Linked DNA regions of Saccharomyces cerevisiae S288C. The protein of the gene in region 2 binds, or shares a complex with, the protein of the main gene of each other region. Each region holds a gene or a part of one and is shown on either strand. Other genes may lie near its edges. A codon is read from its position in the direction of its gene.

Region 1 (3,672 bases), on a different chromosome or scaffold from region 2:
TAACGTCGCCTCTGGTATGCTTCCTATGACTGAACAGACTCATTTTCTGCCCCGGTTTAATGAACAATCTTGTTATTCTATCAGTGGAAAAATGGAAGTCATCCGGCAGTAAATAATGTGTGTCGTTCTTTCTGTTCTTAATCGGCATGTCAATCTTTGTCCTTCCTTTTGAGGCAAAGACTTTGTCTTCAAAACTATCATCCGTTTTGAAGAAATCAATTTCCAGAACCTTTTTTTGTTTATGCTTCTTCTTCGTATCCATCGATTTGTCGTCCGTTGTGTTTTTGTCAGTAGTATCTCCTATAGTAGTTCGCGTTTCTTCCAACAGGTCGGATTCTTTATTCACTAAGTTTGCTTTCTTAAAATTTCGTACTTTCCAATGTTCTCTCCCTCTCCAGTTTCTATTTAGATTTTCGTCAAAGTATGCCATCAAATCTTTTTCGAATATACTTCCTGTGGTACTGTTGACATTATCATCATCTTGTTCATCATGTGATGTATTGTCATGATTTTCATCTGGATAGCACAGCTCCTGTTGCATGCCCATATCAAAGCCATCGCTATCATCTTCTGCATTATCTGGGACAGCTGCTTGCAATTCTTCTTCAGTTAAGAAGTTATCAAATCTGTTGTTAACATTTTCGATAAAGTCTTTCGCTTGATTAATATCTTCGACAACGTTCCTTAGTTGCTCAATCGATCCTGAAATTTCACACACCGCAATTTGATCAAATTTTATAAAATCCATACCAAGAGATAAAATCTCATCTTCCATGGAAGGTGCACTAATAACGGAATCATTTACGGTTGAGTCATTACGAGTACTTATCAATGACTGGCTAGGTTCATTTTCGTCATCTACTAAACTATCTCTTTCAATTAATTCTTCTTCTTTCCTTTGAAGTTTACCTTGCCCTACGTTTTGTGTATCCTTAATTGATGCATCGAAAATGACTCTTGCAGTGTTGTCTATGTTTAATGTGTTCAACAATAAACTCTTGGCGCCACCTTCATCGAAATCAACCAAGGCCTTTTTGAATAATGGATCAATTATTAATTCCTGGTCTAGCTCTTTCATCTTGATCGTTTCGAACTCCACCAATGTTGTTTCTAAAACTCTGTTGTACACTCTCCGCCTAGTGTTATTCACATCAGGATCATTAGATATAGGCATACCAGTTAAGGGATCAATCTCTATATTTGCTTCGTCACTGTCACCTCCAAGCCCTTCACCATTTCCCCCGTTACTGTCATCTCCGTTAGATGCCCCATTCGTCTTTCTTTGTGCCAACCCGCTCAATAACTTACCTGTTTCCGTTGTCACTGAATCAACTCTCGAAGAGTAAATCTTAATACACCCATCCAAGGTTGCAGATGCTTTCTGAAAATTGATGTTATTCTCGCCATCTTTCAAAACGTCCAAGTCATAAAAATAGTCGATCAATGCGAAATTCCAACTATTTCGGGAATTGATTTTATTATCTGTAGCCATTTTGATCCATTCTTCAAAATTTGCCATCATGGTGGATCTATTGGTAAAGAGATTATATTCTACTCTTTCATCGTCATCGTTATTTTCATACCTTAGTTGTGTAGTCATCTTATATAACTACCTGCTGGTTTTTTTTGCTCCAAAAAGTCCACTAAGATGATTTTTTGGTGCAATAAATAGAGTATTTAACTAGCCAATATAAAAAGTTCAACCATATGGATATTATCTTGACAATACTTCACTAAAATGTAAACAAAGAAAGCGCGAACAGAGCCGTTTACCGTTTCGCGTGATCAACATCACATAAAATAATTAGTGTATTATATATATATATATATATATATATATGTATATATCACTTATTTTAATAATCCTCTCCTAGCGTACACGGATGGCAAGAATAAACTGGCTTCAGGAACGTTCTCTTGTCAAAAATTTGAAAAGCTTGTAACCGCCAATAGATAACATACCGAGTGTCAGAGATTCTAAGAATTTCAAGATACGTGTTTGCTTTCCAGCCCTTTCTAAAGCTCTAGAATACGAGATATCGGATCTGAAAGATATCATTGTATACAAAGGTATCCACTTATCCTTCATTATAATACTAAAGAGAGCATCTAGCTTTTTCCTTAATAAAAACCGCTTGGATGTAACGTCATGTGACATTTCTTTATAGTTCCTTTTTGCCAGCTCAGTAATAGAAACTAGGTCCTTATGTCTTGTTTGAGTGTACTCAGTAAAGGCTCTTGAACGATCTCCTGAATGCTTTTTCAATAGCGCCATAAGAATTCTCACATCTTCAAATCCGCAATTCATACCTTGGCCGTAAAATGGAACCATTGCATGGGCAGCGTCGCCGAGTAGGATGGCCTTTCCGCCTGGTACATCGTATGGCTTACAGTTTACACAGACAAGACTTTCCTTTGGATAAGTGATAAACCTTTTGACAGCATCGTCCAAATCCATAATATTAATAATATCGGGAAAGTTCTCGATTAAGAATTCCCTCACACGTGACTTGGAAGTTATCAGATCTGATATTTGATCTTTAGAACCGAAAAAGGTTGAAGTGAACGAGCCGTCACTGTTGGCGAGCGCAATTAACATGAATTTATGACGAGGCCAAATGTGCAAATGGTCAGGAGCTATTGCAAAATTTCCGCCATAGTTTGGCTTGAATTCCTCAGTAGGCGGGATGTAAAGTTCAATGTAACGTAAATTCATATATTCTTGTGAAAAATCCATCTCAACTTTACGTTGCATTTGCGATCTCGTCGCAGAGTATGCTCCGTCACAACCTATGACAAAATCATACTTTTCAGTATGTGGGGTTTTCAAATCTTCCCCAATGGCAAAATGACAGATTTGTTTATCATCTGTCCATTCGATTTTGACTAATTTGTGACCGAACTTCAGTTCTGTTGTAGATTTTTCTAATTCGTCCAAAAGGCTATTATTTAATACAGATCTATTGATAGAATTAATAGCTTCTCCATGCAAGCCATACAATTGTGATTCCTGTCTGCCTTTCAAGTCATGAATCATCCTGCCTTTCATGGGAATCATATCTTGCAGAATATGTTCACAAGCATCCGGATCTATTGATTTCAGAGCATCAATGCCACGAGCAGAAATAGCCAAATTAATGGATTTCAAATTTTTATTTTTGGTGGTGTCCAATCGAGGATCTTGTCTAAAATCATATAGTGTGACATTGTAGCCTTCTTTGGAGAATGCCAAAGCTGCAAGGCAGCCTACTAATCCTGCACCTATAATGGCCACTGATTCAGACATATTTTCAAGTTAAACAGATTAACTGACTACGTGATTTTTTAACTGTCATTCAATATTTTATTATTAAAAACAACGTCCGTGCCAGAAATTCGGGCCTTTTATAAGAAATAGTGGCGGAAAAAAGAGTCAGTGCTAAGAATGGAATAAACTAGAGGCTATTGTGGGAAAAAAAAAAACAACTCCAAAATAAAAACCGCTTGCAGGCGATATTTCCTTATTTTTGTAGTAACTCATTTCCTTAGAAGAAAAGTAGGGGCATTATTTACCATAAGAATAATAATAATATATAATAATCAAAATAAAAAAATTCTAAGATATTTAGATTTTTCAGGGTTATTGTTTGGCTGCACTTTAAATTTAGTTATGTTTTTTTTCGTTTTTTTTTT
Region 2 (5,730 bases):
AGAATAACAAAATTGAATATATTCCTGAGGTCCGAGAAGTACTACTGTTTTTTTTGCGGAATCAAGTATAAGGATGAAGGTGATCTCTACGAGCATTGCCCAGGAGTGAATGAAGACGACCACAAATGAATTTTATCGAGATAGGTAAAGTCATATTTCAAGAAGAAAGAAATGAACAGCTTTTATTTATATAATAACATATAATATAAAACGGAAGAAACGGGTAAACGTCAGTTCGATTATTCTTTTGCGGATACAACCTTGAAACCTTGCTCCAATAATGCAGTGACGTCTTCATTTTTGTATGGTAGATTGTTTAGTACGAATGCAATATCATCCCATTGCTTTTGGGTCTCGCACTTTCTCAGTCTTCCAACTAATTTCTCGTTTAATTGCTTTTGGTGCCGTTCCTTATCGATAAAAGTTAACAGAAATTTGATGATTTTCTTGAAACTCTCCTTACCCAATAAATCATCTGACGATAAATTACTAAAGATATCGATGAATCCATTATAAATGGCGTTGTCCTTGGATGCTAACTCGGTGAAAAATAATCTGCACATATCACTTATTCCCTGGTCTGGATTGTCTAGGCATTTGGCCATTTCTCCTAATTGTCCTTTAACCTTAACCTGTCCAGCTAAAATCAAGAAGGTAACTGTCATTAAACATGTTCTTTGTACCATTAAGTTTTCATCATGCAAACGGCGATACAAATAATCTGTGTTTTCGTCTACTAAGTTGTTGAAGCATACTGCCATGTCACCTAGTCCTAAGACAGCATTTGAGCGAATAGTAGGATCAGGAGATTTTTCCATTACTGTGATTAATAGCGGCAGGCTCTTTTCACAATATTTTGATGATAAACACATTAGTTTTTCTAGACATAAGGTTGCCGTTCTTTGAAGCATTGGATCGCTAAACCTGCTTGAATTAGAAACAATCTCTTCTACAATTGGGCAAAACTTCCCTAATATAGATTTTTCTCCAAATAGTAATTCATTCTCTTTTACAAATTGAATAGCATCCGTGAAATCGTCCTCATTAGTACCTCCTATCATTTCTAGCTCTTTATCACCACCGTTATCTTGTGTGGTGTTAGTTACATCTGCACCTTGGTTTTTTACTTTACCGTTCCGAGTTTCTGCCTCGATCTTTCTTTTCTTGAATTCTGCCTCACATTTCTCTAGATAGACAAGTGTTTTAATTGCCACTTGTCCTACAATGAATAATAATTGACTGAGAGAAACAACTCTAGATGATTGTTCTAACGACAAAATAGAGTCTTCCTCTTCAGGTTTACCAAATGTCATCATTGTCTTTTCTCTAATCAGATCTGTAGCTAGTATATCGGGCTTAGAAGAGATTGTAAACAGTGCACTAAGCGCTTGTTCGCACATAGGATAATATTCATTATCCTTGGTATAGTTGATAATTATGGCATACAACTTTTTCACTGCAACATCTTCAAGCTCTTGATTTATTGCCTTGGTAATAATAGTGCTTCTCTTGGGAACCATTCTCTCTAACGCTAAACAAGAATACCGACAAAGGGTCAGATCTTTTAAACCAACGGCACCAAGTCCAATGTTTAAAAGTGACTCCAGTCCTTTTAATGCTATTTCGTTATCGGCTAACGATAACATTCCTAAAATAATAATAGAACCATGAATTTGTTCCTTAGAAAACCCTTTTTCGGAGTCACGGTTGTTCACATTTTGTTCTTTCTGCATACTGGCCTTCGATGCAGAATTGTAAATAGCCCAAAGGATATTAATGACATGTTGATCAATCAATTTTTGTTCATACATCATTCCTAATAGCTGTTCCAAAGAGGCCAAGTCTGCAATAGATGCGCCGATGCTTAGATTAATTAAATTTTTGGCAATATGTGCCGCCTTCTCCTGCATATTGCAACTATCTGGCGCGGTTAAAAATAGCTGCTTATAACATTCTATCAAATGTACTGATATACTCGTTCCTTCATCGTTTGTGCCCTTCATCCAAACCAAATGCAGCATTTTTTTTATACCAAATTCGCTTAACTCAATGTCAAAAGCGTCTGCTAAAACTAGGAAGTCCATTGATTCTAAAACTTCGTTTCTGTTCTTAGAAAACAGCAAATTAGATATCAATTCAATACTCTTGTGTATCTCTTTAATGAAACTAATGGCATCTTTATAGTAAACAATCATTAACTTTAGCTTCATGAGAACACTGGTATTTGTTGCATTTATATTCTCTACCTCATTTTCTATTCTAGAAAGTTCTGCGCTCTTATTGAAAGAACCTTCTAACTCGGTCCTACATTGACCTTCATCTTGTTCTACCTCTTCTTCAATCAAAGACCTTTCAATCGTGTCATTCAGAGTTTCTTGTGACTCTACTTTCTTTAAAGTGGAATTTAGCTGTGATTCAGATCCTTTGAGATATTCTTCCCATTCACTCAGCCTCAATTGGCTACCATGTATGGCCTTAAAAGGATGTTTTAGCAATAATTTTGAAAGTAACTTTACTGAGTTCCTACGAACTAAAGAGGAGCGGTCCTGCAATGATCGTACTGCCAACGAAGTAAATTTAGCTTTGCTTTTGTTAAATTTCGAACTCAAATCGCAGATCTTTGAACACCCTTGTATCGCCTTCGTTCTAACGTAGGGATTTGAATCCTGGAATCTTTCTTCTAGTAACTCAATAAGTACGGCTATTTGTTGTTTATAATGTTCCATAGTTTGTGGGTCTTGAGCCAATTCAGCCACAATATTTCCACATGCTTCTACAACGGAACATCTCAATGTTATAGAACTATTGTTGAGTAAGGTGATGACAAGATTCATCTGTCGAAGCATTATTCCTGGTGATAGCTCTGATAATTTAATCAAAAAATTTGATATTGCCTTTGGGCCTGTGGTATCCTTTGCGTTAAATACCCTGGTGCTGATTTCTTTCAAGATATCTTCTGTTAGTTGTGGATAGTTATATTCATCATTCAATAGTTTTAGTAATTCTGCATTAAAAACCGACAAATGAAGAAAATAAGTTAAATTTGTCATCAATGAACTTTGTATACTTGAACTTTGACCGTGATTTTTAACACACATAGCCAAAATCCTTTGAATAAACATCTTTAGTGATGATACCTTCGTCACAGGTTCAATCTCTAATAACACAAATAATGGTCTTGTGAACAAACCAATAAACAAATCCTTTTCAGGAGTTGTCTGAAATATCTTAGATAAGTTAATCTCCAGTAGCTTTGTTATAGATTCAAGCAAGTTTTCCATTTGATTACAGTCTCTTTTAAACAGCTCGACGTTTGCACTATCATTCTTACTGTTTTTGGCAGAACGGTTTAGATTGGTAGACTGCGAGGAGACCTTATGTAACTCATCTTGTAAAAACGTCAAAAGTACCTGAATAAGGTAGCCATACTCTTCTAAATGCCTTTTCCACTGCGGTATCAGGCCACCAATTTCAGTAAAGTTAACATTTGATGAGAGATTAGCCTTAATATCTTTTGACAGATTCGACAGAGATGAACTTATCAAATAGCTTAGTTGAGTTTGTAATTTCGGTGTTAAGTGCGGGAAGTCATGGCAAAGATCTATTAATGCTTCTAGTGAATCTGGACTAGCATCTATTTGTTCGGGTGAAACGGCCAATTGGTCTATGATAACATTCAGTTCTCTGGATGGGTCCTGCAAGCGAGGATATGATTCTCGATCTGTTGTTTGGAACTTGGTCAGATACTCGGAAAGGCTAAAGCCGGACATCTCATAAAGTAACGAAGTCAGTTACCACCTATCAAAGGATAAAGATATTGTTACTGCTGCTTCCTTTACCTTTCTTTTTTTTGGTCAGTGACAGGTTATTTTCTTTGTTTACTAAATGGTCGCAAGATTTTCGCGATGCGTTTAATTTTCATATTATTGCTTTCCAATTTACCCAAAGTGCAATTGACAAAGGCCATTAGTCTTTCTTTTTACAACAGTAAGAATATAAATATACAAGTGCAGTATTTAAGATACTTAATTCGAAAAGTGAAAAAAAAAAAAAAGAATCTGGAATTGGTTATTTTAATTTCTCATATGAATTGCTTTCCAAATTCTTGCAATCAATAACATTTTTTATTTATTTTTTTTTCAAGATCAGAACATGTATATATATATATATATATACTGTTCATACCAACAATTATCATTTAGTAGTAAAGTTTGTGATAACGATCAAGCTAGAAACTCCATAGATATCCTGACCCTTACTCGTTGTAAATAAAAGGCTCGCGACAAGAAAACAACGCGTTACTTGATAATAATTTTAAAATCAAACAAAAGAGGTGGGGGAAAGAAGCCCTTACTATTGAATAGCAGACATTTTATTCATCTCGCAATACTACTACATTTCTATGAAATATAACAGGTATAAAAAATGATTTCGCCCAGGATCGAACTGGGGACGTTCTGCGTGTTAAGCAGATGCCATAACCGACTAGACCACGAAACCTATTATTTATGTTTAATCCACGTTACACCACCAATTATACAAAAATAAAAAAGAATGACGGCAAAAAAGCAAAAAGTGACATTAATCATATTTGTTTATGTCTTATTCTACTGGTAGTATTCATCCATTAGTATATTACTCTCTGTATAAGGTTATAATGTTGAAATGATAATCAACTATTGTGTATGATCAATTGGTGAATAATTTGATAATTGTTGGGATTCCATTTTGCTTAAGGCAATATAATATTATGTATACACAATATACTAGAAGTTTCTCCTCAAGGATATAAGACTCAATAACATGGAAACAACATTTCTCCACAAAATTTTGTAATTATCTTTCTTCCATTTTATATGTTTCACATCCTATTAATCCTCAATTCTCGCATGTTCGGTTTCATATTAAATTTGACTACTGTTTCACATAGTATATTTGTTGAAATGAAACTCTAAAATATCATTTATTAGTAGTATTCATGTTACTAGAATCTATTATCATATGCGGTGTAACAAGATGGCATAAAGATTGGGAAACAGTCATCAAATATAATGGAAGCTGAAATGCAAGGACTGATAATGTAATAGGACAATGAAACATATAAAACGAAAGGTGTAATAATTATAAGATTTTGTGGAGAAATATTGTTTCTCTTTTATTGATTCGTATATTCTCGAGGAGAACTTCTAGTATATTTCACATACTCAATAATATAACGTTTACTAAAGATGGTGTTAACATGTTAAAAAAACTTCGATTGTTAAGAGTCCTTTTGTTATACAACTCTTTAAACGACTGTTTAAACCTATCATTTCATCACAAACTGTAAAGGTAAGAGTTAAAGCAGATATATCACCTATCAACTGCAGCTAAATATCGTGAAATGAAAAACTAATCGTTATTTGCACCAATAAAGAACGAAAATCCCCCACTGAATTTAAAATATTTCTAAAGAACTAAAGTCATTTCGACTAATGAGAAACTAAAGTCAGAAACAAAAATGCAAAAGCAATATTAACTTATGTGAGCAAAATATTTCATATCTAATCTATGAAGGCAAAAGAATATGATTAACTATTTTATTAATTTTAATTAAAATTTTATTCTCTTCATTCCAAGGATTTTGTTATTATTGTAATATGGGCGATGGTTAGGGTGACGGCGACTTATAAAAATAATCACGAAAAATGTGAATTTTATTAGGGCTAAGAGAGGTTCTCTCCTCATATT

Evidence for each region.
Region 1: the proteins of YCS4 (region 2) and BRN1 are in contact, whole or in part, in a cryo-EM structure (PDB 6YVU), measured with the Saccharomyces cerevisiae proteins. Residues at the interface, in NP_013374.1 of Saccharomyces cerevisiae: Glu365 (codon at 2,678), Gln368 (codon at 2,669), Asp369 (codon at 2,666), Ser370 (codon at 2,663), Arg375 (codon at 2,648), Arg405 (codon at 2,558), Ser406 (codon at 2,555), Gln408 (codon at 2,549), Asp409 (codon at 2,546), Arg410 (codon at 2,543), Trp589 (codon at 2,006), Ile641, Ser646, Arg742, Asn786, Tyr789, Pro790, Glu793, Lys805, Asp807, Arg815, Val840, Val841, Lys856, Tyr860, Lys863, Cys864, Ile917, Arg957, Thr958; in NP_009455.3 of Saccharomyces cerevisiae: Thr166 (codon at 1,105), Leu167 (codon at 1,102), Phe170 (codon at 1,093), Thr172 (codon at 1,087), Ile173 (codon at 1,084), Lys174 (codon at 1,081), Ile184 (codon at 1,051), Asp185 (codon at 1,048), Pro186 (codon at 1,045), Phe188 (codon at 1,039), Ala191 (codon at 1,030), Leu192 (codon at 1,027), Phe195 (codon at 1,018), Lys201 (codon at 1,000), Leu203 (codon at 994), Leu204 (codon at 991), Leu205 (codon at 988), Asn206 (codon at 985), Asn209 (codon at 976), Ile210 (codon at 973), Asp211 (codon at 970), Asn212 (codon at 967), Thr213 (codon at 964), Ala214 (codon at 961), Arg215 (codon at 958), Val216 (codon at 955), Ile217 (codon at 952), Phe218 (codon at 949), Asp219 (codon at 946).

The regions. Positions count from the first base shown.
Region 1 is NC_001134.8:38,759-42,430, reverse strand, and holds the start of BRN1 (condensin subunit BRN1), read right to left. Parts: upstream 1,601-3,672; coding exon 1-1,600. Other genes in the region: BNA4 (kynurenine 3-monooxygenase), read right to left, coding at 1,904-3,286. UniProt on the Saccharomyces cerevisiae protein: Regulatory subunit of the condensin complex, a complex required for conversion of interphase chromatin into mitotic-like condense chromosomes.
Region 2 is NC_001144.5:683,433-689,162, forward strand, and holds YCS4 (condensin subunit YCS4), read right to left. Parts: upstream 3,771-5,730; coding exon 240-3,770; downstream 1-239. Other genes in the region: CMG1 (Cmg1p), read left to right, coding at 1-129; protein phosphatase regulator PIG1, read right to left, coding at 5,651-5,730. UniProt on the Saccharomyces cerevisiae protein: Regulatory subunit of the condensin complex, a complex required for conversion of interphase chromatin into mitotic-like condense chromosomes.